Mus musculus: one gene and its partners. The protein of the gene in region 4 interacts with the protein of the main gene of each other region in a biochemical or structural test. Links are inferred from orthologs where the notes say so. Each region holds a gene or a part of one and is shown on either strand. Other genes may lie near its edges.

Region 1 (3,913 bases), on a different chromosome or scaffold from region 4:
TATGTGGTTGGTGTCAACGAACCCAGATGGTAGCCACAGAGCAAGTACGTTTAGGAGCACACAGTAGCATGACAATTGGGACGTCCTTAGCATTTGAGTGGAGCAAGTACCTCCAGGAGTCTTGTCCTTTGTGGAGGCTAGTCTCAGCATAATTTCCTATCATTGAGCATATATATGCTGGAGAAACCTGCTATAAAAATGGAGCCCCAAGCTGAGAATGGCAGTGGGCATTGACTAACATGTCTTCACATCTTCTCATCTATATGTGCATGGGAGAAGTCTATGTGAGCTTTGTTCACGTGTGTCCTCCAGTAAGGGTCTGAGGACACCCCTGTGTGTTTCTGTACACTTGCCTCTGTGTTGCAGGAGGCATGTGAGAGGCTGCATGTGTGTAAAGGTGAGGGGGGATGCGTGCATGCATGCACATGCGTGACTTGTGAGTCATGTCAGCATGTGGGGGCATGTGCATGAATGGGTGTGTGAAGTGGGTCTGTGTGTGATGATTGGTGCATATGCTCATGTGAGGGAGGGGGGTTGGTTGTGGGCACAGGGTAACTCCACTGAGGTCCTGACCACTGTTGACCCACCCCTCTCCCCTGGTGACCCACCCCTCTCCCCTGGTGACCCACCCCTCTCCCCTGGTGACCCACCCCTCTCCCCTGGTGACTCGCCCCTCTCCCCTCTTCTTGCAGCTACGTGGAAAACCAGCAGCACCTGCAACGCTTGGAGTTTGAGGACCTGCAGGGCCTGGGGGAGTTGAGAAGCCTGTGAGGACCAAGGGTAGACACAGGGTGGGACTGGGCACAGGGTGGTGGGTGCCCACACATATCGGGATCTGGAAATCCGATATGGGAGAGAGTGGGAGAGGTCTGGAAGGCTCAGGGGTTTGAGGGGTCCAGGTAACTTATGGAGAGGGGTGCCCAGCTCCACAGAGGTGTCTGGCCTGGGTGGGCAGAATGCAGAGCTTAAATTCCTCTCATCCCTTCCCTAGAACCATCGTGAAGAGTGGCCTCCGCTTTGTGGCCCCAGATGCCTTCCGTTTCACCCCTCGGCTCAGTCACCTGTGAGTGGCCAGGCTGGATTGGAGGGGGCGGGGCTGAGGAGGACCTCCAGCCTGGGGCAGTGAATGGGCTTTGCGCTCCCCAGGGAACTGTCCTGAGGAAGGTCCAGCCTGGTCTCCCTTCCTTAGGGCATTTCTTTCTGCTTCGGTGTTCTGATTCTCATCCAGTCAGGCTGGAATCTTTGTTGATTCGCTTCTATGATCCATGCCTCAGGGACACTTCTCACAAGTACCCATCCGGGCTCTCTGCCTGGGGTTGGTAGGGTGTGAGGGGCAGGGGCAAGACCACTGGTTCTGATCAGAAGTTCGTCTCCTCTGCTGTGAGGTGCACTGTGGGCTGGTCCATAAGGCCAGTGTGGGAAGTGGTATGTTCTGGTTGCTACTCCTCCCCCTCCCCATTCCTGAGAGTTACAGCTACTTGTTCTCAGAAGACAGAGGGACATGGAGTGGGTAGAAGATGCGCTTAGAGTCCCTGGTAGTCCCTCCCTGGGTTGTCATTCACAGAGTTGGGCTGAGTCCTTTAAACTCTCACTTGGATCCAGGGATTTAACAAGAGTGATGTTGTGTTACACAGTATATGTCCTGACTTTAAAATGTCCACCTAGGGTTGGAGATGTGGCTCAGTTGGTAGAATATTTGCCTACTATCCATGAAGCTCTGGATTTGATCCCCACAGCCACATAAACCAATTTGGTGATACATACCTGTAATATTAGCACTGGGGAGGTGGGGACAGGAGGATCAGACGTTCCATGTCATACTTAGCTACACAGCAAGTTCCAGGCCATCCTTTTGTCTTAACACAACACCACAACAACTTAAAAAGAAATTTAAAATGTGTGCTGGGTGGCAGTTCACGTCTCTCATGGCAGTGACTACTTGAGAGCAACTGGGGAAACAGAGAAAATATGCTCCCCATTTTATAGATGAAAATTCTGGGAATTAGCTGTTTCTTGACTGAGGTCACATGACTCCACATGGCTGGACAGGTGCAGCACTCAACCCCAGGTGGCAGTATTGCAGGTGTCCCAGGACCTGCATCTTTATAAAGTCAAGGCTGGGTAGGCAAGGCGAGTGATTAGGGCATGGTCCCCCAAGGGAGCTGCAGCAGTGTATGGTCGGCACTGAGTTCCTCAAACAGTTTTTCCTAGAGGCATGAAGAGAGCCCTGTCTGGGCTCTCTCTTCATTTTCACCTAGGGAACTATGTCCCTGGGTTTCTGCCTACTGGAAATTCTCTCAGAGGAACAGGAAGGAAGGGCTGGGGGCCTGAGGAAGTACTTTGACATCCCTGTCTTGAGGTTAGGTGGGGGAGGAGGTTGTGAGAGCCTTGGTCCTCCCCTCCTCCTTGGTGGGGAGCACAGATGGAGCCCCTTACCCCAGCTGTGGCCTCAGCACTTCACCAGCTGGGGCTGAGGTGTGGGGGCAGGGCAACCGGCTGTTCCCTTGGATCCCTCTCCCTGGGGTCGGGGAGGGGGTTAACTGGGATTAACCCTTGTTGTCCCAAGGAGAAGTCTGTACTCTGAAAGACTTACCTGCCTACCCCATTCCCACATTCCCACACATCCTCAGGCGTAGCACGATGTTCAAGTTGACTTGCCTGGGGACGGGGTGGATAGAGGTCTCCTTTGGACTTCTGCCTCAGACTGGGTCAGAGTAAGGTCGCTGGCTCAGGGCATCTGTTCTCCTACAGGAATCTGTCCTCCAATGCGTTGGAGTCCCTCTCCTGGAAAACTGTGCAGGGCCTCTCCCTACAGGACCTGTGAGTGTGTGGGCAGGGGCAAGGCAAGGGGCCAGTGTGTGTGATGTGTGGCTGTGCATGATCATGTCCCTGGGGCTATATGCAACTGTGTCTCTGTGGAACAGAGGAGGGGTGGGAGGTGGGGCATCTCTGGAGACTGTGTTGTGTCTGGGAGCTTATACTGGCAATTATGTGCATGCCTGTCAGCCACGCCCCTCCCACCCCCATCCAAGTAGAGCCTGCAGGACTATCCTGGTCTGGTCTGGTCTGAGCAGTCTATATGGATGAGTAGCATGTGTGTGTCCAGAGGTTCAGGGCTGTGTTGAACAGACTCTGGCCATCCTGATGCTTGAGGATAGCAGCCCCATTCCCAGAGCACACACACACTGGAAGGGAGATACATAGAATAGTCCATATGTGTGTGATGGGTACCTAAGGCCTGTGGGCCATGGTGACCTGCCCTTCCTGCCATCATGCTTGTCTGTCTGTGTGTGATGGGTACTTAAGGCCTGTGTGCCATGGCAACCCACCCTTCCTCCAATCATGTTTGTCCACATGTGTGTGATGGGTACCTAAGGCCTGTGTGCCACGGTGACCCACCCTTCCTCCCATCTTGCTTGGCTTCTCGCTCTAGAGCTGGGGTAGAGGAGTCCCATGCGATGCTCAGATGGCATCCACAGCAGTCTGCCCTTACTTAACTAAAGTAACTAAAGTCTTGTTACTGTGTTGGTTATGGGCCTGGTCCAAACCCCACCCTTTTTGCCTAGACCCCTTGGTAGCCAGCCATCTCCAGAACACTGCCTCCTGGCCATTCAGACCTGTCGCACCCTCTTTCCCTGACTCTCAGCACCCCCTACCCAACAGGACCCTGTCAGGGAACCCACTGCATTGTTCCTGTGCCCTGTTCTGGCTCCAGCGTTGGGAGCAGGAAGGGCTGTGTGGTGTGCATACACAGACGCTTCATGACTCTGGGCCTGGAGACCAGTTCCTCCCACTGGGACACAACACCAGTTGTGGTAGGTGTTGTTGTAGAGGGGGAAGCCTGGGGGGACCTGGGGTAGCATTGGCAGGGGCTATGGACCCTGGAGGCTGGGGTCCATAGATTGGGGCTCAC
Region 2 (4,368 bases), on a different chromosome or scaffold from region 4:
AGTAGGACTGACTCATCTCTGTCCCCAGGATGGGCTCAGTAAATAGCTTTTGGCTGGAATATAAATGAAAACAGGAAGTGTGGTCTTCACCTTGGGAATACTGTATTCATTTTTCTTGATCCGGAGGTAGGTCTCTTTTAGGCACGAGGTCTCAAAGGGAGGCTTGCCCACTAGCAAGGTATACCTGGGGGTACAAGAAGGGATTTGTTGTTGTTGTTGTTGTTCAAACTCCAAGGGAAATCCAAATGCAGAAGTCATCGTCTGGGGACCGTAGGAAGGAAGGGAGCTGTGCTGGACTTACTGACTGGGAACGGACGGGGATGCTCTCCAAGTCAGTCCAGTGACACAGCAACCAAAGGCTGGGACAAGCCCTCAGAAGGATGCAAGTGACAACACCTGTGTACCAAGGGGCCAGGAATTGACGGCTCTGGCCTACAGTGACCGAGGACTCTCCCAGTGCCCCAGAGGCCACTGCTATCCACCACAGGCCACCGTGGTGGTTCTGCCTATCGCCAGGCTTTCTACTGGCCTAGTTCTCCCTTCAGCACTCAGCAGGACTTCCAATGCTCCATGGAAAGTCAGGCAGGGATTGTATTAAACCCAGGTTCAGATCTGAAATTCTGAATTCCTAACAAGCTCTCAGGTGTTGATGGTTTGGATCTGTGCATACTTTTAGTAAGCACCAAGGGCCAGGAGGAAAAGTTCAGGGACTTTTTGATCCCTTCCCTGGACCAACAAGTCAAGTTACAGGAATCCAACAGCCTACGCCAGACTGATATATGAAAAGCAGGGTTTCATGTGGGACAGCCTGTCCACTAAAACAGCCTTTCTATAAGGTAGAAAGATTCACATGGCAAAGTCAACTGGGTGAGAAGCCTCAGAAAGCCCTGCTGAGGCCCAGGAGCCAAGGCCATTGCCAACTTACATGATGCACCCAATGGACCACACATCCACCTCAAAACTGTGTCCCTTCTTGCTCAGCACCTCAGGAGCTATGTAGTTAGGAGTGCCACACAAGGTCTTCTTTCGTTCCCCTTCATATTCCACTTTGGTTGCCAAGCCAAAATCCCCTGGGACAGAGGAAAGAAGAGAGGGTGCTCAGCTGCTAAGCCCGGGCTGTCTGTGGTTGCAGGCAGCTCTGTTTTGATCCTGAGCATTGAGAACTAGTGGCTTGAGGCCCCAGAGTCCCTGAACCCTTCCACTGTACTGGCCCTAGCCAGCCTCCCACACACCTCTTTAGATAGCAGGGTTACGGTGGTTAAGGTGGCTCAGGAGGTAAAGGGGCTTGCTGCCAAGACTGATAACATGATCTACGTCGATCCTGGGACCCACACAGTGGAAAGAAAGAACTGACTCCTTGAAGTTAGCCTGTCTCCATTCATAAGTAAATGAAATTTAAAATGCACAGGATAGCAGAATTAGATGCACTGGGGAATCAAGTAGATGATCTTCGTGACTGCTGCTGGGCAAGTGTGTGGAGAAGTGACAGGGATCTAGGGACTGGCCAATCAGACTCAAGGGGGCAGGTTTTTCAGCTTAGTAAAGAGACACCTGAGGAGATGCTGCCTGCCATACTCTACAGCGTAAGTCCAGACCTGAAATTGGCTGAGGGTCTGGCTCAGTGCTAGGTTATAGAGAAGCATTTGGGGGAGGGGCCCCAAGTTCAAAACTACTGAGTTGAGGCATAAACACCAATGCATCTAAAAAAAAGGCAAGGAAAGTGTCACACACACACAAACACACACACACACACACACACACACACACACACTTTCCACTTCCTAACTAGAGGGCAGCATCTCTATTTCCTCACCTTCCCCTCCTTGTCCCCTCCTGCCCTGACACCAGACACCCGAAGGCCCAGCACCTCACCTATTTTCACCTCCAGATCCTCGTTCAGGAAGAGGTTGCCCAGCTTGAGGTCCCTGTGAATGACCTGATTGCGGTGCAGGTACTGGCAGCCCAGGACTATCTGTCGCAGGTAGTAGCGGGCCTCAGGCTCGGTCAGTGCCTTCCTCCTCTTGTGCAGCTCCAGGAGGGACTGAGGAGGGAGAAAGAGGTCACTGAAGTCCAAGAAGAGTGGCTAGCTGGATGTGGCTAGGACTAGACGCTCGGAGTGGAGAGTCTTAGCAGGTTTCTGATAGTTCTACCCATACACTGGTTGGTCACTATCATTCACCAGACCCTCTCCTGAGTCTTCTCTCAACCCCACTCTCGACTCCCCTACCCAGGGCTTCCTCCTGGCAGGAGATTCCCTCCCTTTCCTGAAAGCTCTAAAATCTGACTCCAAACAGCCGCCCCCTCCCCCGACCCTGCCCCACTCCGGAAGTTAGAGGTGCGTGGCACACCAAGCCTGGGACCCTTCCTTAGCCACTTTATGAATCCATTTCCTGTACCGACTCGCTGCCTTGCGTCTGGGAGCTCCATCCCTAATAGCAACAGGATCTGGTCTCGGTTTCCCCAGAACCCCGGCCTCAGCAGTTCGGAGTGCCAAGTACCCTCGCTAGAAGCCTTTCCATAAAAGTTTGAAACCCAACCACTCCTCTAGGTCACTCCAAAACCTCGGTGCCCCTTTGTCAGCAAGTTCCAGGTGTGGGAGCCCCAGCACTGCGACTGAAACACTCACCCTCCTGCGACAGAGCTCCAAAACTACAAATACAAAGTCGCTGTCCTCAAAAAAGTCATGGAAGCCTACGACGTGTTGGTGTGCTAGGCTGCGGTGAATTGAGATCTCCATAGACATCTTCTCCTTCTGGTGGGGCTTGAGCAGCAAAGACTTAGGCACGATCTTGCCTGCGAACACCTCTTTTGTGTCTGCGTCTGAGATCTCGAAGCATTTGGCGAAGCCTCCTTTACCCAGAAAGCGCCCCCGTACATACTGCCGCCGGCTGCGTGGGTCCACTAGGACCTCCGGAATTTCTTTCGCCAGCGGGGCGGCCACTGGGGCACCGGGAACTGCATCTCCCGGAACCCCACCTTTCCCGAGGTCGGCTGGTGCTCGAGCCAGCTTTCCAGCTTTGGCCGCTGCATTCATGATGCCGAAGTTGCTCCACGAACCTGGCTGAGTCGGTGCAGAGGGTCCTGCTCTGCTCCGCTCCTCCCCGAATTCAAACGCGGCGCTGGGAACGTTACAAGGGCCTGCGCGTTGCTGATTGGCCGCGGGGATTTAAAATACAAACCCGCCCAGCGCGCGGCACCATGGGAGTGCTCTACGGCGCAGCCGCCTTTAAACTCCGATCTTGCCGGCGAAATTTTTAATGGGCAGGGACTGGAGGACTGCGTTTGCTCAGGATTGCCTGGGAAACCAGGAACGAAGCAACTACGTGAAGATCCCTAGAAGAACAGGATTCTGTCCTGCTTTCTGCTCCTCGGCTGGGGCGTGCTCATGTGGTTCACCTGCGCCTCCTCCAGGGGCTTCTCCTAACTGTTAAGATCTAACACCTTCCTCCACCGGACCCGGCCTTCTAGAACTGAAACTCCAGGCCAACCGGTAGCTTGAGAGTGCACCGCCTCCGCGGTGGACAGCCCTCTCCCCGGCTAGCCTAAATAAACCCAAAACTGAGCAAGCTCAGCAGGCAGATGCACCTTCACGGCGCAACGGACCGATCTCCTCTGTGGCACTAGGGGCTCCCAGCCCCTGAGAAGTAACTCAACCCTTCTCTTGAACAACGCAGGAGGCCAGCAGCATCTGCAGCACCTGGAATTCCCTAAGAAGGCAAAGGAGGGGCGTGGGTTCAGGATTACAAGTTAGCCGAGATCAGCCTCAGCTACCGCTCCACTAACCCCAAAGGAAAGAAACTTCCCAGGCATGACCTGCCGGTCAAACAAGACCTTCAGATGATTCCTATGCCCTGTGATATGTAAGAAACACCGGACGTCTGCCCCGCGATGCAAGGTTACCTGGGTTGTTCCAAGTTGTGTGGCCCAGAGCCCCAAATAGAAAAAATTAATTTTTTAGTCAGAGGTGGGGGGGTAGCTGGTTAGAAGAGTGCTAGCATGCCGGTATACCAAGGCCAAGTCTGCCCTGCCGAAGTGTCCGTTCAGCCTTCACTTAGGAAAAAAAAAAAATGAGCCGGGGCGTAATGGCACACACCTTTAATCCCAGCACTGGGGAGGCAGGCGGATTTCTGAGTTCAAGGCCAGCCTGGTCTACAAAGTGAGTTCCAGGACAGCCAGAGCTATACAGAGAAACCCTGTCTCGAAAAAAAAAAAAAAATGGATTTACAACATGTAAAAAGAGTGGCCACACAGAGCAGGCGTGTGGCTTTTCATAGAAAAAAACGGCCAGCTCTGGTCACTGTTCCCAGACACCCTCTTTGCCCCCCTGCCTATCTGGGCACTTAAGTGATACCTTCCGTTAGAAGCTGT
Region 3 (4,628 bases), on a different chromosome or scaffold from region 4:
AGGATGATAGAGTTTTTTTTTTTTTTCCCCTGTCCTTTGGTTTGGTAAAATGGCACATTTTAGTCTGTTTGAGGAACATAGAAGATGGAAGATAGGTGTGAAATGATGAGGCTTTGATTTCAAAGAGCTTAGAAATGAATATGGCAAGTGTGTTGGATGTGTAGTGTACACAATGAATCCAGACTGTTGGCTTTTTTGGGGGGCAGGGTTAAAGGCCAAATAATAATTCCTGGAAGGGGATGATAGCAGCAGAGATGAAGAGAAACTTAGATGAAGGAAAACTAGAAACAGTGTAATGGATATCAGGAGGAACGGGTGTTGAACATGCTTCAAACATGTATAACCCTGTACCAGATCCAAGCGGCTTTTTATCTGCATAACATACAGGATGGAAAAACAGGGAAAGTCGAAAATGAGGAATTCTTGCAAGATTTGGTTGTGAAGTGTGGGAAGAGAATGTCTGTAGACATAGGAAATTGTGTCTAAGGAGGAATCTAGTTTAATTTTGCCTTTGAGGTAGGAGAGGCACGGACGTTTAAAAGTTGACAGGGCAGATCTTTGGTTGGGAGCAGTATGTTCAAATCTGTGGCGATTAGGTAATGAGTAATGTAAGAAGTGTAAGAAGTGGGTGGGAGGCAGGGAGAAGAATCTCCCATCATGATTGGAAAGAATAATTGCCTTTTGTTACGGAGGGGAAGAGAGAAGAGGATGGATACGGTCTTCAGATAGACAAGAGACCCAGTAGGAATCCCTGACAGTGCCAAAGGCCACTGTAAGAGATGACATGTTTTCCATAACTGCTTTCTGTCCTCTCTTCCATTCAAAAGTGTAGCTGCTTGTGAGAGCTGATGGAAGTGTCTTTATTCCTCGTCAGCTGTAATGCAGCCTCCTCCCAGGTAACCTGTGTGCGTAGGTGAAATTAAGACCGTGGGAGAATAACATTTCTTCATTAATTTCAGTTCCACCTCTAGAAGTTTGGTTTGTTTAAAAAAAAAAACAACCCAGGTGGTTTATTATAATATTATTGACACGACCATATGTGCATCTGTGCGTGCGTGCGTGTGTGTGTGTGTGTGTGTGTGTGTGTGTATATGTGTGTGTGTGTGTGTGTGTGTGTGATTTCATCTTCTAAATTTAACAAAGCTTGCTAAGCCTGCATTTTATAAATTTTAAGACAGTCTTATTTACTATGGCACAATAATACTTGAGGGTGGGGCAGAGGTCACATTGATTCCTTTCTCCCCACCTTGGTTAAAAAAAAATTCATATTTTAGTTCAAAGCTGTTCAAGTAAGTCCTTGCTCCGTTTTCCCACCCTGTCTTCAGTGATATTATTTGGAGTCAGCAATCAATGGATTCCATCCCTCTGAGACTTGCTTAACCTACAGCCGCTGATATAATACAGGCAAGAGCTTGTTACTTTATCTGAATTGTCCATCGCTACCTTAATGAGTGAAATGGTTAAGTAGAGGAGGGGGCGAGCCTTAAGGAACGTGTGTACCGTTTGAGCTGAATATTTCAGCGTATATGGGGAGAGGGAGGGAGAGAGAGAAACCCACTTACATCACTAGAACCTCAGCGAGTGTGAGGCTTGCAGGTTAAGAGACAGACTACAGTGTCTTGCTTTCTGCGGGAAGCAGCAATGCCGTTTGTTTCCTAAGAGGGATTTTTTTTTATTTAGAAAAGGAAGCTTTCTCTACCCAGGAAATGGCTTTCCTTGTGCGTTGCTATGCCAACTGCCTGCAGCCATGGTCCTCCAAAGTAAGCACAATAATGTAATTATATTGGTGTATTGCATTCAGACTCATGATTCTTGAGATTGTGTGTGTGTGTGTGTGTGTGTGTGTGTGTGTGCATGTTCCATGTTTCTGTCAGTGACTCCGGCTAGCAGGCATGCTTGTGTTGAGTGTGAGGGACAGACATCATTAAATTAAATGTCCATCAGTGTCATACTGCTGAGATTAATTGTGTAAACTTGGTTAGTGGAGTGGGACAGAGATCACTGGTCACCACTGTCAGCATCATTAGCAGCTAGGGAGGAGGTCCTGATTCACACGCTCTGCCCTGATTTTTTTTTCTCTTCCTCTCTTTTTTTTCCTTGGTTGGAGGGGTCTGTATGTGTGATTGCAAATGAAACAAGAGTGTTAACAATGCTTGGCTGAATGCTAGAGACTAGCTTTTCACCACCCTGGCTAATATAATTCTGTATTAAGCCTTTTGGAGGGGAGTCTGTGTGCAGTCAGCCATTTTAGCTTTTTTTTCCCCCCTTTTCTTTTGCCTCTTGTTCTTCAGCCTCAGAAATGATCTCGTTCTATCAGAAGCCTGAAGGCTGGGTGAGGTTCCCTCAGCCTTGTCAGAGCCTCCGAGGGTTAGAGTTTCAGTGTGATAAAAATGGAGCCGAGCCCTGTCGTTCAGATTCCTTTTCTGTCTACAAGTGTGAAGGGTTTTTAGGCTCACCAGTAGTGACACTTTAAGCTGCAGCCTGGTTTTCCCTCCTCCCTCTTTTTTTTTTTCCTCCCCTCTTTTTCTTTTAATTTCATGCTGTAGAGGGTGACTTGCCGTCGTGAGAGGTTGGTACATGATGTGTAAATTCAGTTCAGCATATGTTTCTTCATTATGAAACCACTGGCCGCGCCTGCTAACCATGGAGTTCTGGGCCAGCAGGAGAAGCAGTCTGTAAGTATCCAGGCGCTGCCGGCATCGTGGGCTGCCTGGCTGGGGGGCAGGCGATGTGGGGAGCAGGCAGGGAGTTCTTTTCCATGGAGCGTTGCTCTTCTCCAGGGGAAGCAGTGTTTTAGAGGGTAGAGAGAGATCCTCTGCTCAGAGGAGGGAGGGAAGGAGGGAGGGAGGGTGAGCTACAGCTCACTCATTCTTCCGATTTTCTGTGATTTCTGAAAATCTTAAGCAAGACCAACAGTTCATTTAAACAGGACCACTAACATTGAGAAATACTAGACAGCTAATTATTATTTTTTTTTGTCATTAGAAAATAATATAGTTTTCAGTAAATGCCCAAGCAGTTTGAGAAACCAGTTTTGGTTGAATTTAGTGAATCATTATAAGAGGTTCTGGCCCATGGGAATCTGGCAAGGAATGCACGTGGAGGTGGGTGGGAGGGTGGGGGCTCTGGCTATTGATTTGGCAATGAAACCATCGGTGGTACACTTCTGACTCCTTAACATTTGTTAATTGGTGGTGAAAGCACACTGTATTGTTTTAGTGCCACAGGAAAGATTACTGCTCCTTTGTAATTGGTCCCATGAGTCAGCTGTGCGATTGTCTTGCTGAAATCCCACAGGCAACAACTGCTATTTGTGAGAAACATATTTCTGTGTCTAACTCCAGGTCAGAGCCTCCTGTTCCGGGAATATGTGCACTCCTGTAGTGCGACTTTTGTGTCACCATGTTACAAGTTTTTTGCCGTTTTGCCAGTTCATGATATTGACATATATATGTGTGCATATGTATGTATGTGAACACATATATGTATATGTATGTGTATGTACATACACACATATATGTTATTCTCCTTATAATGTGCTCAGATTTAGGTGGGTGTATAAGCATTTTAGAACTGTCTCCTTACATATCCTAGACCTGTACATTATGATATAGGAGTTAGTTTTAATTTATTGTAAGAATTGATGCAGTAGTGTTGAACTTTAAAAATACTTATAAACCACTAAAGCCTTGGAAATGAGTAAGTAGGATGCCATGGATTAGAGTATTTGGTTTCGGTTTTGTCATCAGTAAGTGATGAGCTCTTCCGTTGGGTGCAGGGAAGTTCCTTAGATGCAGTGACCCTGAGGAGGTGAATGAGCCTCCCTGGCAAATTCCAGTTCCGTGCCTTGTCCAGCCCTATCCTGGTCGGGTTCTAGGTGTGTTTCCTTGATGAAATCTCTTCAGACCTAATCTAGAAAAGAGCCACCATATGCCTCATTTTCCAAAAGAAAGGTTGTCAAGCAGAACTCGCACTGGAGTCTGATTTTAGTGCAGGTCTTTGGCGCCCAGCTCCATGGAGTTAGTTAGAGCTTCCAAGGAAAGAGTAGAGTGCCTCTTAATCTGCACTCGAGCGAGGCGGCTGCAGAGATTTAGCTCAGAGGCTCAGAGGCTCACCGTGCACCTTTCTCATGTAACCGTTCCCCAAGTGGGAAGGGGTAGCATTTAAATTCCTAATACACGTTTAACAATGAGAATTATTAAAACCATTGATGGGTCAGGGAAGCGACACGTGGATTTTGTGAGATGCTAGAGCTGTTGGAATGGAGAGCACTAAGCGCTGCCCATCGACCAGGAGGCAGTGCTTTGTGCCAGACTTGAGTTTGTTTCCTAATAACTACTTCACATTCTCACCAGACAAATGAAGTGTTAGGATTTGCACCCAGAGCTCAGAGTGCAGGGCATGGGCAGCTTGGGATTCTGCGGTCTGGCTGCTGGCCGTCGTCCAGTTCATTCTGACTGACATGTGTCACTTGGCCGTCGGAAGGGGGAAAACAGCTCAGGTCCTCAGGCAGTGGTGGGTCAGCCCATGGTGATAACTGCAGTGGATAAGCCTTTTTTTTTTCCCTCCTATAATGCTGTATCATAAAAATGTCACAGCTGACTTCAGTTGAGTCACTTCTACCAAAT
Region 4 (4,675 bases):
GTTAAAAATACTGTTAGAAAATTGGAATTCAAAACAGATCTGACTTAAGCAGTTTTCTTTTTTAAACAAAGTATATGTTTGACACATTTGCTTTTACTTAGGAAAAAAACCCTTAAGTTAGAAAAAATACAGCTTGGGTGTAGTGCCATGTAGTGTAAATAACTCAACTATTTTGCTATGAATGGGCCAGTATATACTTATTGCTGGAGTTCTTGCTATAAAATTCAGGTAAGGGGTTTAAATATACCCTAGAGTATTATTTAAAAATAAATTTGCTTCTTTCAAATAGAATACCAACCTTGGTCTGTGACATTTGGGAGAGAAATTAAAATATTAAGCCTTTATTGCCGAGTAAGCTGAAAATACAGTAAAGGTTATGTAAACATAAATCAGAAATATATATCTATATATACAGAGAATCACCACCTCTGAAGGACAAGCCGTCTACTGTTCTCTGCTGTGAGAGTTTTATCAGTACTCGTAATTCTACCTCAGAGGCCATGCTAGTGGGCAAAGATGTAAACAAGGGCCTGCCTTGTTTATATTATGAAATATGTGGCCTGGTTTGTATGTCTTGTCTTTATAGGTGTCTAACAGCTGCCTGGGTTGTTTTAAAGCACCAGTAGGGCCCGCAGAGGACTCTCCGAGAACAGGATTGCCATTGAGATATGTTTATTTGATGTGTTAAATCCTTTTTAGGCTTCTTTACTTACCACAACACTCTCTTTAAGTGAATGAATTGCACACAGTGGAATAAAATATCCAATGTGTTCAGACTATATTGGGGTGTAGCTTTTCTGTCTAATCTGCATATGTTTTTAATGGAATGTTTACCCAGGCTATTTCTTGGCAGGATTTTAATAGTCAAAATATAAATGGCATCATTTAAAGACTGTACTACTTGGCTGCATTAAACGTTAAAATTACAGGACAAAATGGTTGGTGACAGCTTCTCCTCAGCCTTTTTTTAAAAATTTCCCCTTGAGGAGGTTATTTGGTGTTTACAACAATGTTACTGGGCTCGTTTTGTAGTTCAGTTTGTCAACTTTCACTTTCATAATTGTGTTTTGCTAAAATATTTACCTTGTTCAATTTGACGGTTAGGCTTTATGCCCCTCACCCCACGTTTTTGTATTTCCAAGTTATTCAGCTGTTTTCATTTACTCATTCCTGAAAAAATATTACAGTCCGCGTAGTCCCTGCATTAAACCTGACTAAATCTCTCAGTATGGCCATATTTTGAAATTCAATCTTTAATTTGATACTCAATCACACAGGTTTTATTTGTACCCATTTCCTGTAATCCTATAGCATTCAGTGAAAATATTAGCGGTGAGGATCACCGGGGGAAGTTGTAGGCACTGAGATTTCGGGAGTTAAATGTTCGTTTTGTAGGGCTGGGGTGAAAAACTAGGTTTCCCAGTTGAAATTGAAGAAGCTTGTTGTTCTTGCGTTACTCATTCATGCAAATTGGCGAAGGTATAATTGAAACAAGGTTGGCTGTGTTTGAGTCAGGGCTGCAGCTGAGCTCAGCTTAAAGGTCGCTGGAAATCAAGTGCTTTGTCAGTGAAGGCGTTCTGACTCCCGGCGATTCTAGACACTTGGGGAACGTCAATCTCGGGCATGGGTCGTCCTTTTCTATGAAATCTGGTATCTGAAGTTAAAGACGCCTCCCCACGAGCTTTTTCAACACCGCCGATGGTTTTTTCCTCTGGATGCAGCACAGCTGCGCTAGCCTGACTACAGACAGAGCTCTTTGTTTTGACTCTCAGCCCTGAACATGCTTGGAAATGAGAACAAATGGCACAGAGTTTACGACTGCACTTTGCCGCCAGAAGAAGCAAGACTTACCCTCTGTCGGAACCCTCTGGAGATGACTTGGATAGCCACGTTGACACACACGGCCAGAGGCGGCCCCGGATCTCAGTGGCTAGTGTGGTTCAAATGAGGCTGACCCCCAGACAGGCGCCACAGGCTCCGTGGGTAGAGCATAGATCCTCTGAAAGTACTGACAAAAAGAGCAGCTGCCTGCAGATCTCACTGCAGCCCAGATACGGAGGGTGTCTTCCATCTGACACTGTCGTGGCTGATAGGGACAGTACTTCCTCTACCTGTGCTTCAAAGGATGATGTTTGCAGCAGCAGTGGAATTGACAGTGAGCTGGACAATGGCAGCCTCAGTAACTTCTCAGCCAGTGACAGTGGGTCTTACAGCAGCAGTGGCAGTGACTGTGGGTCTTGTGCAAGCCTCGCAAGTGGAGGCTCCTCCACCGGCAGTGGTGTCAGCGACAGTAGTGGCTATGAGACCTTTTTCAGTGGAAATTTACCTTCTGACAACGCCTCCAACAGAAGCGTGCCAGTCGACACTACACCCCGTGAAGTTATGTGCGGAAGTCCCAGTAGACTTCCCTTTGCCCAGGAGGACCTGGATCGTGGAGTAGAGATTATGAAACTGCCAGTGAGTAGGAACGCAAAGGGTCCACTGAAGCGCTGCACGTCTTTGGTCATTTTCCCCAGGAGTCCTTCAAACACCCCACCAGCATCCCCGACGAGCAGAGGTGCCTACCAGACCTCACACCAGTTGGTTGTATCACCTACTGAAACTGCACATCATGAAGATGGATCTGGCACCAAAGGCTTTCTGTCAACAGCTGTCAACGGGCTTCGATTATCTAAAATGGTTTGTACTCCTGGAGAAGTCAGAGATGTACGGCCACTCCATGCCAAGGGCTCATTGCAAAAGAAAATTGTCATTTCAAATAATAGGCCCAAACAAACTGTGTGTGAGAAGTTGCCAGAAGGATTTTCCTGTGTTTCCGTGCACTTGACCCAACAAAAACCAACGACATCAGATTGTGCAAACCCCCGTGGTGGCTGCACATCAGAGAGGTTAGAACTTCAGCTGCAGTCTGATTTGGACCATGGCATGCTCAAACAGAGGGCATCCCCTTGCTTGCCAACCGCATCAGACATGGGTTACCATTTAAACATCCGTGGAGAGTTGGAAAGACCAAATTCACCGATAAGCAAAGGCCATGCTGCTTTGCAAAGAAGTGTTTCGCTGGGTGGGACATACCCAAATATTTCCTGCTTATCCAGCCTGAAGCACAATTGTTCAAAGGGGGGACCATCTCAGTTGCTCATTAAGTTTGCATCTGGGAATGATGGTAAAGTTGATAGTTTCTGGAGACAGAGAGACTTGACAAATGAACTGTCTGATGTTTGTAAGGTAAGATTCCTCTGGTCTTGAAAAAATACTTCCTGGAATTCTTAGCTATACTGATTATACTTGATTATAGCACTATCTGTTCCTTTCTGTGGCCCTTAGTGAGGAAGTTTTTAGAAAGCTTCAATTTTATATTTGTAAAGCTCTTTCTTATTTTACCAATGGATAAACTACTTTTAAAACAAACAAACAAAAAAAAAACCAAAAAAACCTTTCCTTGGTGATTTAAATCCTAAAATTCTTCCAGAACTGGCTCGATGTCATAACACTCGATCTTGGGATATTTGTTCTTCTTACCTTCAGAAATGGGATTTTCTTCTCCCTCTTAAAACACATGTATTTGTAAGATCGCTGATCAAAAAGACTATTATATTGAATGTTTCAAGCAGAGGAAAAGTAAGTGGGCTTTGCATTTACATACACCCTAGCCACAGGAATGCTGTTTGCACCCTATTTTTCCTGAGTTCCCAGTGATCGCTGTCTCCCAAAATGTAACTCACTTTTTCAGCAGTATTGATTTCTAAGTTTTATGTGTTTGAATTGGCTTAAACGTACTAGGTAGTTTCTATAATTTTCAATTTACTACACTAGTTTATTGTTCTCACAATGTTGCTTTATTTTATTAGTAATTTAGCTCTAACAGATCTTAGCCAGATTGGCATTTTATGTAATTTGGCCTTTTCAAATTATTTACAATCTTTAAAACTAAAGTAGCCTTTACCATGTCTGTATTTGGAAGGTTTTGCAAAATTCCAGGAAATTTAATTGTTTTTCTGACGACATTAGCTCTAGATTGACAACACATATGCTGGCTGGCGTGCTCTATTTCTTTCTTGTGAAGGGACCTTGCTTCTTTTCATGGCAATGCCTGTATTAAATGTTGGAGGAGTGTGGGGGGAATCCAGATAATGTCTAGACAGATGGAGTTAGAAAATTAGGTAATTGGGCTCTTTTTTCTCTCTTTTGAAATCTGGAAAATATAATCATTGTGTCCACCCAAGGTTAATCTACGCAGCTACTTCACTGGGGATAAGAGAAGATTAGATTTCAAAGTTTGATCTTTGTTTTAGAGTTATTCATTCCACTTGCAAAATTTTTCTAAAACAGTTTTTGGAACATTATAATCGGTTTAATTCTCTTCCCCAAAGTGCTGGGTCCTTAAAGCAGCATTAGTACTCTGCCAATTCAGTCGATGTTACTCACAGAGTCTACATTCAAAGAAACCTAAGAAGTTATGAATCTGAAAAGAATTCTAGAAATAGTCCAGAGACAGTCGTTACTGTGGCAGCACTATCATTTGCCACTGATGCTTTCCAAAGAGGTACTTTAAATACACCCAGTGAAGTATATAAACTCAATGCTGTTTGCATCGCTAAGAATGTTTTCACAGGCCTTTAAATTTTCTAGCAAACTAACAATTACTGCTTTGTAACAACCTAATCCTAGTCTC
Region 5 (4,431 bases), on a different chromosome or scaffold from region 4:
GCTGGGGTTGGGATATGATCAATGAAAAGTGGTTCGCTGTGTACTTATTCTAGTGTGCATGAGACCCTGAGTTCCATGATCTGACACAAGAAGGGTTGATTTATGGTTTGGTCTCTAGCTAAAAAGATGAATTGCATTAATGCCACTCTTCTTTTGGGGTGAGATAAAGCAGTAATAATAATTAATAATAATAATAAGTGGGAAGACAATGTCTATAAAGTGTTGACAAGCAAGCATAAATGTAGGCATGGTGGGGCTTGTGTGTAAAATCAGTGCTGAGCAGGTAAAGACAGCAGATACCTGGCCAGGTTAGCCCAATAGGTGAGCTCCAGGTCCCTGTGAGAGACTCTGTCTCAAAAAACAAGGAGTACAGCTCCTGGGAAATAATTTCACAAACACACACACACACACACAAGGGGAGGGGGGGCGGATGGACAGGAAAGTAGACCAATATGCAGACAGAGCAGGACTGCTTGAGGGGACCTCTGCAAAGCACAGTCCCTCGAAGCTTTCTGGGCCGCAACCCATCTCTAGTTTCTGCAGAGGGCGTGGGGCTGGTCTTCTGTGGACCACTGCAAAGGCGGAGAAGAGAACTTCCCAGATGTGGCTGATCCAGCTGCAGAGACACTGTGGAAGCCGCGACAGTGAGCGTTGAGTGTTTTGAGAAGCAATATGGGATTCAAAACCATTTTAGATAAGGAATGGATTGACTTTAGTCATCAGAAACCTAAGACTGACCAACGCCGTCAGAAATCCAAGACTGACCTGCAGGTGCCAAGCCAAGAAGTCATGGTTGAAAGGACAAGCAAGATCTGAGATCACAAGAACTGAGAAGGGGCTGGAGGACACCTCAGTGGGTAAACTGCTTGCCGCAAAGCCTGAGGACCTGAGTTCGGATGCCAGAGACCACGTAACGGTTGGGTGTGTGGAAAGCTGTCTTCAATCCCGTTTTTGGGAGGTGGAGACAAAAAGACATAAAGGAAAACCCTGTTTCAAAAAAAAAAAAAGAAAGAAAGAAAGGAAGGAAGGAAGGAAGGAAGGAAGGAAGAAAGAAAGAAAGAAAGAAAGAAAGAAAGAAAGAAAGAAAGAAAGAAAGAAAGAAAGAAAGAAAGAAAGAAAGAAAGAAAGAAAGAAAGAAAGAAAGAAAGAAAGGTGGAGTACAATTGACGAAGACTCCTCACGCCCTCAGGGGCGAGCGGGGAAGAGTCAGAATTATCTGCAAAGGAAGTTAAGATCCGCCGCAGGGTCTGTGCGAGGAGGAGCGAGCCGTGGTTCACAGCAGCTCCTAGGAGCGACAGCTCACCTGCTGTCTGGGTTTTTGCAGATTCGAGACCTTGCTCTGCAGAGCGGCTGCAGGGAGCGGCAGCAGCCTGGTCGCAGCTGTCACCCACGGGTGACCGGACGACGTCCGCGCGGGCGGCAGAGGCCGAGCCTGGGACTACACTTCCCAGTGTGCCAGGCGGGCGGGGCGCGGCGGGGAGGGCGCAGGCTCCTTCCCAGCAAGCGAAGGCGGAAACAAAAGAGTCCGGCGCCGCCGCCCGCACACTCGCGCACCGCGCCCGGGCGCACACGGAGCAGCCCTGCGAGGCGGCAGCCCGGGACACGCGGACACTCCGCAGCCCCCGCCGCCTGCCCCATGGCGCTGAAGCGGATCCAGAAAGTGAGTGGCTGCCAGAACCGGCCTGGGTGTCCCCAAGATGTCCCCAGGAACCCGGGGCGCACGGTGTGGGAGGGGCGCGGACACTGGGGAGGCCGGGGTACGGATCGGCCCGCACAGGTGAGGCGTGCATCCGCAAGGTCTGGGTACTTGGAACCTCGGGGCGACCCGATCCGGTCGTGCCCTTTCCAGGATGAGCCTAGAACCTCGGGTGCGGGTGCCCGTGGGGTGGCCAGATTGTCCCGGGGTGTGTGCATCCCCGCTGGGCCGGGGCTTGCTCTGCAACGGGCGGCCTTCGTCCCCTATCCCGCTGTGCGTCCTCACAATGTCCCCGGAGCCCTCCTTGCTGTGTTCGCACCCCGGGTTCCCCGAGAGGGCAGGGAAGGTGTGGTGGGCCTACGGCCTTTATTCTCAGAGCGTGGGGCTGGGTCTTTCTGGGCTCTGCAGTCGGCTGGTGCTCAGTGGGAGGAAAGGGCTGGGAACGCGAGATTGGGGCCGAGGAGCCAGCAGAGAGCTCTTGCCCCTGCTATTTTGGTGGTTCTGCACGCAGCTGCCACTTCAGGTCACATAGCTGTACTGAGAACATAGTTGCTGATACACAGCAAGATGAGCTCCTGGCTGTGATTCATGGCTAGGTAAGCTAAGCAGGTTGTTGGTTTTGTTTTGTATTTTTTTCTTCACACCCTCACGATAAACTTAGATGTAGAGTTGAAGACACAACACTAAGGACCACAAATTAAATTGTTTGGATGCTTTGATGTGTGAATAGAGAATGAGGAAGACAATCGAAGGGACAGTCAGTCCTTACATAGGATCGGTTCCAACCCTCTCTTTGTATTCTTTACCGCACCCACTTCTCTTGTTGGCCTGTCCCCTATCTCAAGTATCTTTTAACATTTTACAGCGGTAGTCCTTGCTGCTGGGAACGTGGTGTTTGGGATCGCTTTAGAAGCAAATGCGCCAACAGTGGATAATGTGTTTGGTAATTGATTTCACAAGAAATGGTTGGCTCCCCAAACGTTTTATCAACCTTTCCAGCTACACTTGACTGAAAATGTTCTGAGTTAGAGTGGTAGGAAACAGGCATCTTTCGGTACTGAGGACAGCAACTTTTACCCGCAGCCAAATTTTCGTTTGTTTTTTGTTTATTTGTTTTTGTTTTTGTTTTGTTTTTGTTTTTTTTTTTTTTTTTTAATAAACCTTAGCTGTGTAGATCATCGCTGTTCTTTGTGCCGCTGAAGGTCAACTCGGTATAAAATGTTAAGATCAGCGTTTATTAAATAATGACGTTTTCTCGTTTGAAGATAACACGGTGGCACTTTATTTTTAACCATATAAACAAGCTTAATTTTGAAGCTGCAATCGTCATTACCGTGCCGATTTCTGAACGCCGACCAATCTACTGTTGGTTCCCATTTGGAAGTTTTCAAACTTTGCTTCCTTTCATGATGGTGAAGCATTTCCATGTGGCTTTGCACTCCTCTTCTCTCTCTCTGTCTCTCTCTGTCTCTGTCTGTCTGTCTGTCTCTCTCTCTTTCTCTCTCTCTCTCACACACACACAGTAGCTCTTAGATACCAAAGGAGTTATCTATAGTATATATCCATCCAGAGAAATAAGACATTATTTTATGTGTAGGCTTGATGCATCTTGTTGCTCATGCTAAGCCTGTGTATTTGACTTATGTTAATATGGCAAATTTCCACATCTTCTTTCTCTCTTCCTTCCTTCCTTTCTTTTGTTTAGTAGATACTGTGTGTTAAACAGAGTTGTCTAGTATGAAGATAACCTTAAATACAGCTGATGGGGAATCTGTGACAAACTGGTATTTTGGAGAAGACACCAGAGGTCACATGATCCTATAGTCCTGTCATTGACTGCCACAAATCACATCAGTCATACAAGCCAGCCACCCCTTCCCCCCCACCCCCCACCAGCTGATTCTCCCGTTTTCTTCCTTCCTTGCCTGTCATCTTGCTTAGAACCAAGTCTAGGGTGGACAGGCTGCACCGGGGGCAGCTACAGTGCCCTCTGACATCCTGTGTTCAGATTCTCATTTGAATCACGTTCAAATGTTGAGTTCAATGCTCACCTTTGGCCTTAAAAAAAAAAAAGATTTATTTTTAGTGTGCGTATCTGTGAGTACGTGCCACATGTGTGAGGGTGGCCACAGAGGCTAGAAGAAGGAAGAGAGGACAATCAGGTATCCTGATGCCAGAGCCATTGGCGGATGTGATGTGAGCTGTCTAGTGTGAGTGCTGGGAATTGAACTTGGGTCCTCTGGAGGAGTAATAAATGTTCTTCACTGCTGAGCCATTTCTCAAGCCCCTACCCCCCTCCTCCTCTTCTTCCTCCTCCATCTTCTTCTTTTGAGTATCTTTTAAAGCAATCAGAAAACTTCAGGCCATTGGGCAGTGCTATTTCTTTACCTAAAGTATCAGGCCTCAAAGCTCATAGAACTCCAGGTTTGCAGTGGTGTAGCCAAGAGTGCAGGCAAAGAGACAGTCCCTAGGGCAGGGAGCAGAGTCACAGCAGAGCCCAGGGCTGCCAGTGGAAAGATGCTGAACCTCCAGGTTGAGGTGGGGTTAACATGGAAAGGTCAAAAGCCCTGATGTTCTCCTCTGTTCTCTTTATTCAAAGAGGGAACCTGAGGCGGGAGTTGGGACGAGTTTTTCCCAGGCTTAATCTCTTGAGAAGTGATTTGGCACATTTGAGAATAATGGTCACAGCTTCTCATTTCTCCACCTATGAAAAGAACAAAGATGATGTTGGATTA
Region 6 (4,345 bases), on a different chromosome or scaffold from region 4:
TTTCGAGCTTCTTCATCAAGCCACATACCTGTCCACCCCCAGATACCATACAAACAAGTACAAGAAAATGCTTGGGTAGACAGACGTGAATCCAAAGCTTCAAGGGAAATAGAAAAGAACTTGAAAAGAAATAGACCAAAAAAGAGGAAGGAAAGAGGCAGGTTACAAACAGAGCACAGGAAACAGGGAGCCCTGGTATTCACCACAGGAACTCTTGAGTCCTGGAACTCCAACCAAAAGGAGAGGGGACTTGTTTTCTGCATCTGTCGCAGTGGCTCATACACCATAGGGATGTTTACAAATGTTTAAAAATAGTATGTCCTACAGTTCCTGCTGTTACAGGTCTCCAACACACGGTTATCTCAAGATCCCATGATCCCTTCTCCCAAGGCCCACGCACACCTCTTAAGAGGCCAAGCTTAAGTTGTGAGTCAGACTGCCTTAGAAACTTAGCGGCTTTCCTGTAAATACCTGAACATAGGAAGATTCGGCCCTGTGACCAAGGCAGGAGAACTCCTGTTATAATCCAGTCATGGAGAAGACACCAGGCAAAGGGTTCCAATTTTAGTGTTGCCCCCACTCCCACCCCCACACAAATCTCAGCAGGGTTCTATGTCACAACCAGATGAGAGGTTGAGAACCTCTCAGATTGGGAGGTACCATCTGGGTGTGAAATCCAGGGATCCATGAGATCTAAGCGAAGGTGTCTTGGCTTACAAATCATCACTGAAGTAAAACATTCAGCATCAAGTCACAAACAGGAGAATACAGAGAAACTGCAATATTGTGGGTGAGTGCTGTACACAACTGAATGCGAGGGGGCTCTGTCTTGAGGAAGGACGGAGGTTTTAGCTGAATTTGGAAACAGTTGCAGGTCACAGCTCGGATTTCTGTTAAAGTTCTGAATAATGGGGGTAGGTGTTCACTTAAGTTTCCTGGCTGGCACCAACTACCACCTGAACTCCAGATGGCAGCAGGTGTTAACCTACTTCTAGGGCTCAACCTTACAAGGCGTTCATCTAACTGTACTACAAACTGGAAAACAAAAACAAAAACAAAACTCTGGAAGCCCAAGGGCTCTGGAAGCCCTGAAGCATGACAGCCAGGGCTGGAATTCTCCTCCACCAGTCAGCAATGTCAAACCTGTGGGTGGTGACTTCACTGCCCTGTGCTTCAGAGCATGTCTCTAGCACAGGGATTTTAATGCTGTGACGAGAGTCGGTGAGTACACAGACAAGGCATTCAGAGTGCTGCCAGCTGTGTGGTCCATGTGTAATTTTAAAATATTAAGTGGGGCTGACAAACTGAGAGAAATTTTGAAAGCAATCCTCCACAGTCCTGAGCTCAAGGAAATAACATGTGAAGGACTGTGTAGTAGGAAGGCATGACTGGAGTGTGCCCAGCCGTTCTGGAAGAGCCATGTATATGTAATTTCTGGAGAATGGTGGAATAGTTAGCTCTCTTCTTCCTCATAGAAAATGGGGCTGAGGGTAGAAAATGGGGCTGAGGGTAGAAAATGGGGCTGAGGGCTTTCTCTTGCTGGACCTCCGTTTCTTCTGGTAGCCCTGGCTGAGATAAAGAATAAGGAAGAAGTCCCTCCCCCCTATTACTTATGCATCAAAAAAAAAAATTATCAGGTTAGCACAGCTCTTTTACCCTTCAAAGTTAGAGGAACGCCAACCTAATATAACATCATTGCCTGTACAAATAAAGAGAACGATTTTTTAAAGTCCCTGGTCCTCTATCCACCATATTTAAAAGCGATGTCATCCTTTGCTTCCAATTCTGCTGCGCAGCCTTCAAAAGAGGAGGAAAAAAAAAAAGGCAAGTGGGCGGGGGAGGGGGTAAAGTGGAAAACACCCGGATGCTGAAGACTCCCTTAGTATTTTTCTCCCCACTGCATGAACTAGGTATTAGCTGCTTAAATCGGGGTATAATTAATGGAGGAAACGGTTCTCAGTACTGGTTCTTGAGATCCAAGAGCCCACCCACCTATCACAGTGCAGAGCACGGACCTTCTTTTTCCACACATGGCCCAGGAGACAATAATGAGGTGGAGGCAGGCATGACCTTGTTTGAGGGCCCGCCTGGTGAAGCCCCTCACCCCACCCCACCCCCAATTCTAAAAAAAAAAAAAAAAAAAAAACGCAGGTCAGAATCTAGGGGCTTCTCGAGTTTTTCCTCCTACGCTCAAGGAAATGGGAAGGAGACTCGTTTTCATGGAGAACCAATTGAGCAGACATGGATGGGCACAAGGCTCATCTCACCTGCTGCTACAGGGTTGGGACGCGTTTTTCTATAGCATATCCTATCTGCGGCCCCCAACCAGTCGCCCCCGCACACACAGGCCTCGCCACGCGCACATCCCAACCTCCATGGGTGCTGAATCCTGCTGACTCACCCACCACGCGCACGCTGCGCTTTCGAGATGCCAAAAGTGGCTACAGGCCCTGGGGATACAAGCTTGTCAAAGCCGGTCAAGAATACTTGATTCCGATGACCCTCCTGTGCCAGGGCCACCCGCCATCGCCAGGCTACCTCGGTAGCTCCAGGGCAACCAGCTCCCAAACTCCTCAAGCTTGCCTTCTCCCTCCCCGCCCCCACTCACCGGCACCCGGTCCGGGTATTTCTTCCTAATCTTTTCACCTTCCTTTTTCCGATACTCGAAGGGGTGGTCCTCCTTATACTGGAACTTCATGATGGACCTCAGGATGTAGGGGCTCCCCGGACGGGGCCTGCTGCGCGCGCTGATGACTGCGTCTCGCGTCTGGCCACCCCCAGTCAATGTCAGCCTTATCACAATCGCTCCACCCGCGTCAGCTCCCACGCGCCAGTCGCCGCACTACGTGGCTAAACGTCCAGAGAAGGACCTGGAGATCTCGCGGCCTGAAGGTAAAGGACCACCAGGTAAAGAAATAGGGTGGCTTTTCCCAAGAGCTGGAAACACAAAAACACCAGGGCGGTGCTGTGACATCACGACGCCCCACCCCCGCTCCGCCCCCGGCGCTAAGGACCTGCTGGATCCGGGTGGACAGAAGCTTTGTTTATTTGTGTATCTTCTTTTCACCCAAGCTTTTCCTAAACCACTCCATCGAAACGCAAAAATCATGTAGTCGGGTTTTTATTTTTGAGGATTGATATTAAAGGTAATTTGTTAATTCAAAGAATGCTCTAACAAATGTCGTCTTCCCTCCCCTTCAAGTTTCTTGTTTGATGCCCAAAACAAACACAGAGGAAGAAAATCCAGCTGTTTCCAGAGCAATGGAATCAGGAGTCTGGAGTTGGAAAAGTGCCAGGCGTCACGAGATTTGTAGCCCGGGCTGAAATGTCCTGTGCTTGCATTTTGACCTTTGCCTGGCACCCACGACTGGCCTGCCTTCTCTGCCCCAACTCCTCCTTCTGACTGGTGTCCTTATGTTTGGATCTGTGCTAGAATTGGTTCTGAGACAACATAAACAGAGCATGACTCATGGATTTGAAGAAGTGTAAGGGTGAAGAACATGAAGTCATCAAGGTTAGAAGAAGCGATGCCAGCGATGAACACCAGGCTTCACTCACGTTCAAGGAGAGATGAATCCATTCATTTTATAAGGTTCACCCAGAAGCATGGTTGTTGAGTTCTTGAAAATACAGAGGTCAAATCATTTAGGTGTCTATGTTTCCCCAACAATACTTTGCTCTGGGGTGGGTATCACCTGTAGGGTAGTTGTCCTGATGAAAAGGCCTTATTGGGCACCAAAAGCTCTGACTGGCATGCTGGTGGAAGACCCTCAATAGTATAGAGAGAGTCAGCCCAGGCCCCTCTGACATACCGGGTTTCCATCTTAAGACTCTTTGGATGCGGGGTCACCCTTCTGATTCTACTGGCAGTAACTCCAGACCTATATCTTGGGAACATCGGAGATAAAGTTCAAGGATGCTTTGTGCTGTGAAAATAAAATGACTACTAAGTGGTACCAGGCAAGCAGCCCTGTTGCCTGATTTTATGTACATGACTTAGTGATATGGTTATAAAATATGGGCAAAATAAAGTGAACTGAATTTAACTGGCAAAACAAGAACATGAAATACATAGCCCACTTCTTGGTTTTCTCCTGGTAATCTTTCTTACATATGAAGACAAATGAATTGGTATATAATATTGTTGTATTTATTTATTGTTGTTTTTATTTTCAAATTAAAAATAGTTTAATACCCAGCTACTCATTTTACCCTTGACCCAAATACAATTAAGTCTTTCAGAAGAAATTTTACAACCAGTTGAGACAGATCTGGGATGAAAATGGTAATAGTGTTGTTTTCTGAGTAACCTTCAGGTTTGTTTTTTTGTTGTTGTTGTTTTGTT
Region 7 (3,913 bases), about 47 Mb from region 4:
TATGACAGTCACTAAGAAAGAAGGGGTGGGGTGTGTGTGTGTGTGTGTGTGTGTGTGTGGGCACGCGTGTGTGTCCTTTAACATACCCAGTTCTTCACAGCCTCACGAAACAATGTCCTACTGCCGCAGCAAGTACCGTCACACAGCCCATCATCTGTGTGATGGCTTTGAACCTTACCTGCACCACCAATTAGACTTAGTCCTGGCAGGAACTCCCACCCACAAGGGAGTGATGGGACCAGAGTTAAACGTCTCTTTGGGAGCCAAGGACACTTGATTCCAGAGGGACACACTGATGCCAGGTGCCAGGAATGCCTCTGATGTGGCTGCTGGCTTCAGTGCCAGCCAAGGGCAAACTACACAGAAAGCTCGATGCCCTGGGGAGCACTCGGGAGCACGGTTTCCCACCAATTCCAGGGCTGTGCTGTCTGCTTCAGAACGTCATCCCCCCATCTCAGCAGCGGACCCTCTGTGCCATAACAGAATCCGCCCAGCTTCAGCCCCATCTGTGTGATAGACAGCCAGGCTTGGACCATGCTTGGACCGGAGTTCCCCAGATGTATCTGTCAGGAAGCCACCGTATGGAGGCTCAGGAGCCACAGCCTGCAGACACAGCGCATGGGTTTCCTGGATATACCTCAGGGGAACCATCCTCTCCCTGTCACAGCCACCCTGAAATAAACCAGAAGTTTGGCACAGAGAATTCAGGACGTGCAGGACTGACACAGGGCCTAAAGCCTTCGGTTGTGTCTAAGCCTGCCCTACCCCAATGCGAGGACAATCCTGGCAGCTTTGACTAGCAAGTAGAGACCCCATTTTTATGAAAATTGGGGGCCTGGAAGGGGGAAGGTTGGTGCGTTCTGGAGTTACCTCAGCGTTTAGGGAGAGGATAAAAAAGGCCTCTTGATTTTCTCTGACTCCCTCACTTGATACCAGAGCTCTAGCCTTCATGACTGGAAGATCCTCACCCCACCTGCACCCCCACAGCCACCTGTGGCCACCACGCAGTGGGGTCGAAGTCTTGAAAAGGGCATATGTTCTTGGCAGCCTCAAGAACTAAGTCTCCTTCTGCCCACACACAGGTGGTGGTCAACGCGCTGGTGGGCGCCATCCCCTCCATCATGAATGTCCTCCTCGTCTGCCTCATCTTCTGGCTCATCTTCAGCATCATGGGCGTGAACCTCTTCGCCGGGAAGTTCGGTAGGTGCATCAACCAGACCGAAGGGGACCTGCCTCTGAACTACACCATTGTGAACAACAAGAGCGAGTGTGAGTCCTTCAACGTGACTGGAGAGTTGTACTGGACCAAGGTGAAAGTCAACTTTGACAACGTGGGGGCTGGGTACCTGGCCCTGCTGCAGGTGGTGAGTACGGAAGAACAGGGATCCCTCCCTTCCTCCATTGGTGCTTCAGATATCTGCCCTTCACCCTGGCATGGGCAGGAGCAGGCCAGGTGGTCCCTGCAGTAGGGTAACAGGGCCCAGGGTAGTGGCTCTGTGCCAAGTCCTCAGACTCTCAGTTATAGATTGGACACATCGTCCAGGGTGACTGGCCTGGGGGCAAGGCAGCATGAGATAGGACCAGTTCCCAGCCATCAATTGAGTTGACCTCTTTAGGTGGCACAGGCTAGATACAAAAGACTGCCAACTGCCCAGACACTGAACTGTTGGTGAAATTATAACTGACCACCCTCTGTCATAAAATGTCTCAGGCTGCTTAAAAGACTACATTTGGGATGGGGATATGATTCAGGGGTACAGCACTTGCCTACCACCTGCACGGCCCTGAATCCTCAGACCGCACCTTGACCCCCAAAAGGAGCATGTCTGCTTTCATCTTTGATGTGCCGGTCCTCTTGACTGTCCATTTACTTTATGGGCAGGATGGTTTAGTAGTTATAACACCTGCCGTAAAAATCAACCTACACAGCTCAGTCAGTAAAGGGCTTGCCACACAAACCGAGGATCTGAGTTCAGATCCCAGACACCCACATCATAAGCCAGTTGTAGTGGCACATGCCCCTAAGCACAGCACTAGGGAGGTAACTACAGGACGAGCCCCGGGGTTTGCGGGCCAGCCAGACTAGCCAGACCAGCCAGCTCCAGATTCAGTGAAAGTTTGCTGACAGAGGCCTGGTGAAGCAGCTGCCACCAAGCCTAGGGACCGAGTTCAATCCCTGGTGCCCACACGGTGGGAGGAGAGAGCCAACTCCTGCAAGTTGCCCTCTGACCTCCACATGAATGGTATGGTAAACACACATGTACACACTCAGACACATAAATGTAATAAAATAACGTGAAAAACCATTGAAGAAGATGCCTGATACTGACCTCTGGCCTACACGCACATGCACACGCACACACACACACACACACACACACACACACACACTACTCTTTAGTAACAAAAAAAAAAAATTAAAGAACTCTTAGCCAGGTGGTGTTGGCACCTGCCTTTAATCCCAGCACTCAGGAGGCAGAGGCAGGCAGGATCTCTGAGATCAAGGCCAGCCTGGTCTACAGAGCGAGTTCCAGGACAGCCAGGGCTACACAGAGAAACCCTGTCTGAAGGTTGGGGGAGAACGCTTAGACACAGAATACTAGTGGGACTAGAGAGATGCCTCAGCAGCTGAGAGTGCTTCCTGCTCTTCCAGAACACCGAATTAAGTCCCCAGTACCCATGTCAGACAGCGCCAAGCTACCTTTAGCTCCAACTCCAGGGGACCCAACACCCTCTTCTGGCCTGAGGGTACGGTACCCCTATGTACATGCGCAGACCCCCAACACAGACATACACGTGTGCAAATATAAAAATAAACCTTAAAATAAGAGAGAGGGGGAGCGTAGGCAGAACCAAGCTTGTGGCTCCAGGGGAGGCCTGGGGAAGGGTTAGGTTTTGCTGGGGACCCAGTGGGACTCCCCTGGAAAGTTGGTCTCACCACCACGAATGTCTCCTGAGCTCCTTTTGAATTCTCACAGTGGGCCCCAACTGTACAGACGATGAAGAGCCAATGCCAGAGCCCCCACTCCTTCACGCAGCCTCCTTCCCTCTCGGCCGCAGCCTTGTGAGGTGTGCTAGGTTCTGCTGATGCCGGCTCACTGGACTTGAGGGTCACATTTGCAGACATGATACAAGCTGGTTGTTGAACACAACCTTTACGAGAAAACCAAACTTTATGACTAAGTGATGCTAAAACACATGAGCCTGGCGTGCTTTTTTACCGCCCGGGGGGCTGCCGTCTGTGCTGTGTGCGCGTTAACACTGTGGGTCTTGCCTCTCTTCCCATCGGTCACAGCACGGCGCTGGGAACATTTACATCAGAGAAATCGGCAAATACAGTAGGGATTTTTCTTTTCCTTCCGGAGAGCGAGTTGTTAGTCCCTCACCGGAACAGTGGTAGAAAGGATCTGTCATTACAGGCAAGATGCTGGTCCTCTGAGCGGCAGGACACAGACCAGCCTTGGGGTCTAGAGTCTGAAATGTATGTTTTTGAGCAGTGAACCATCTCCTAGCCTTACCAGACAAGAGGCCTCAACTGAGAAGGCTAACATGGCCTTCATGGTGTTTCTCCTCCATCCCCAGCCCCTACCTGAGGCCTTCCCCTAGGCCACCCAGCCTTTTGAGCACTACTGAACAGGTGGGCTGGGGCCTGCTTGCTTCTTGTAGGAGGCTGATCCTGGCCTAATTGAGATGGGAGTTCTTTGTAGCTGAAGCAGATCACCAAATCTGATGACCTTCATGGTCTCTTCCTCACAGGCGACATTTAAAGGCTGGATGGACATCATGTATGCGGCTGTGGACTCCAGAGGGGTAGGTTGCCACCAGCTGTGTGGGAGAAGCCAGGCAGGGCGGTCACCCAGGTGGGAGGGATGGGGCCACAGTGGGGTTGGTGTGTGTGTGGGGGGGGTGGTGG

The links.
Region 1: of the proteins of Nedd4 (region 4) and Ntrk1, one has a biochemical effect on the other in vitro, tested with the Homo sapiens proteins (3 studies listed by BioGRID, with this or other methods). The link is inferred for Mus musculus from reciprocal best matches to the Homo sapiens genes NEDD4 and NTRK1.
Region 2: the proteins of Nedd4 (region 4) and Plk1 form a complex in vitro, tested with the Homo sapiens proteins (2 studies listed by BioGRID, with this or other methods). The link is inferred for Mus musculus from reciprocal best matches to the Homo sapiens genes NEDD4 and PLK1.
Region 3: the proteins of Nedd4 (region 4) and Rapgef2 form a complex in vitro, tested with the Homo sapiens proteins (2 studies listed by BioGRID and IntAct). The link is inferred for Mus musculus from reciprocal best matches to the Homo sapiens genes NEDD4 and RAPGEF2.
Region 5: the proteins of Nedd4 (region 4) and Ube2d1 form a complex in vitro, tested with the Homo sapiens proteins (14 studies listed by BioGRID). The link is inferred for Mus musculus from reciprocal best matches to the Homo sapiens genes NEDD4 and UBE2D1.
Region 6: the proteins of Nedd4 (region 4) and Gabarapl1 form a complex in vitro, tested with the Homo sapiens proteins (2 studies listed by BioGRID and IntAct). The link is inferred for Mus musculus from reciprocal best matches to the Homo sapiens genes NEDD4 and GABARAPL1.
Region 7: the proteins of Nedd4 (region 4) and Scn5a form a complex in vitro, tested with the Homo sapiens proteins (3 studies listed by BioGRID, with this or other methods). The link is inferred for Mus musculus from reciprocal best matches to the Homo sapiens genes NEDD4 and SCN5A.

What each region holds. Positions count from the first base shown.
Region 1 is NC_000069.6:87,788,524-87,792,436, reverse strand, and holds part of Ntrk1 (high affinity nerve growth factor receptor precursor), read left to right. Parts: intron 1-692; coding exon 693-767; intron 768-991; coding exon 992-1,063; intron 1,064-2,751; coding exon 2,752-2,820; intron 2,821-3,663; coding exon 3,664-3,815; intron 3,816-3,913. UniProt on the Homo sapiens protein: Receptor tyrosine kinase involved in the development and the maturation of the central and peripheral nervous systems through regulation of proliferation, differentiation and survival of sympathetic and nervous neurons.
Region 2 is NC_000073.6:122,158,209-122,162,576, reverse strand, and holds the start of Plk1 (serine/threonine-protein kinase PLK1), read right to left. Parts: upstream 3,143-4,368; 5' UTR 3,035-3,142; coding exon 2,627-3,034; intron 2,042-2,626; coding exon 1,873-2,041; intron 1,071-1,872; coding exon 926-1,070; intron 185-925; coding exon 91-184; intron 1-90. UniProt on the Homo sapiens protein: Serine/threonine-protein kinase that performs several important functions throughout M phase of the cell cycle, including the regulation of centrosome maturation and spindle assembly, the removal of cohesins from chromosome arms, the inactivation of anaphase-promoting complex/cyclosome (APC/C) inhibitors, and the regulation of mitotic exit and cytokinesis.
Region 3 is NC_000069.6:79,142,903-79,147,530, reverse strand, and holds the start of Rapgef2 (rap guanine nucleotide exchange factor 2), read left to right. Parts: upstream 1-1,784; 5' UTR 1,785-2,615; coding exon 2,616-2,675; intron 2,676-2,721; exon of another isoform or gene 2,722-4,628. UniProt on the Homo sapiens protein: Functions as a guanine nucleotide exchange factor (GEF), which activates Rap and Ras family of small GTPases by exchanging bound GDP for free GTP in a cAMP-dependent manner.
Region 4 is NC_000075.6:72,691,639-72,696,313, forward strand, and holds the start of Nedd4 (E3 ubiquitin-protein ligase NEDD4), read left to right. Parts: upstream 1-1,659; 5' UTR 1,660-1,800; coding exon 1,801-3,228; intron 3,229-4,675. UniProt on the Homo sapiens protein: E3 ubiquitin-protein ligase which accepts ubiquitin from an E2 ubiquitin-conjugating enzyme in the form of a thioester and then directly transfers the ubiquitin to targeted substrates. Specifically ubiquitinates 'Lys-63' in target proteins.
Region 5 is NC_000076.6:71,282,330-71,286,760, reverse strand, and holds the start of Ube2d1 (ubiquitin-conjugating enzyme E2 D1), read left to right. Parts: upstream 1-1,498; 5' UTR 1,499-1,636; coding exon 1,637-1,660; intron 1,661-4,431.
Region 6 is NC_000072.6:129,531,800-129,536,144, reverse strand, and holds the start of Gabarapl1 (gamma-aminobutyric acid receptor-associated protein-like 1), read right to left. Parts: upstream 2,954-4,345; 5' UTR 2,699-2,953; coding exon 2,609-2,698; intron 1-2,608. UniProt on the Homo sapiens protein: Ubiquitin-like modifier that increases cell-surface expression of kappa-type opioid receptor through facilitating anterograde intracellular trafficking of the receptor. Involved in formation of autophagosomal vacuoles.
Region 7 is NC_000075.6:119,492,958-119,496,870, reverse strand, and holds part of Scn5a (sodium channel protein type 5 subunit alpha), read left to right. Parts: intron 1-1,082; coding exon 1,083-1,364; intron 1,365-3,756; coding exon 3,757-3,810; intron 3,811-3,913. UniProt on the Homo sapiens protein: Pore-forming subunit of Nav1.5, a voltage-gated sodium (Nav) channel that directly mediates the depolarizing phase of action potentials in excitable membranes.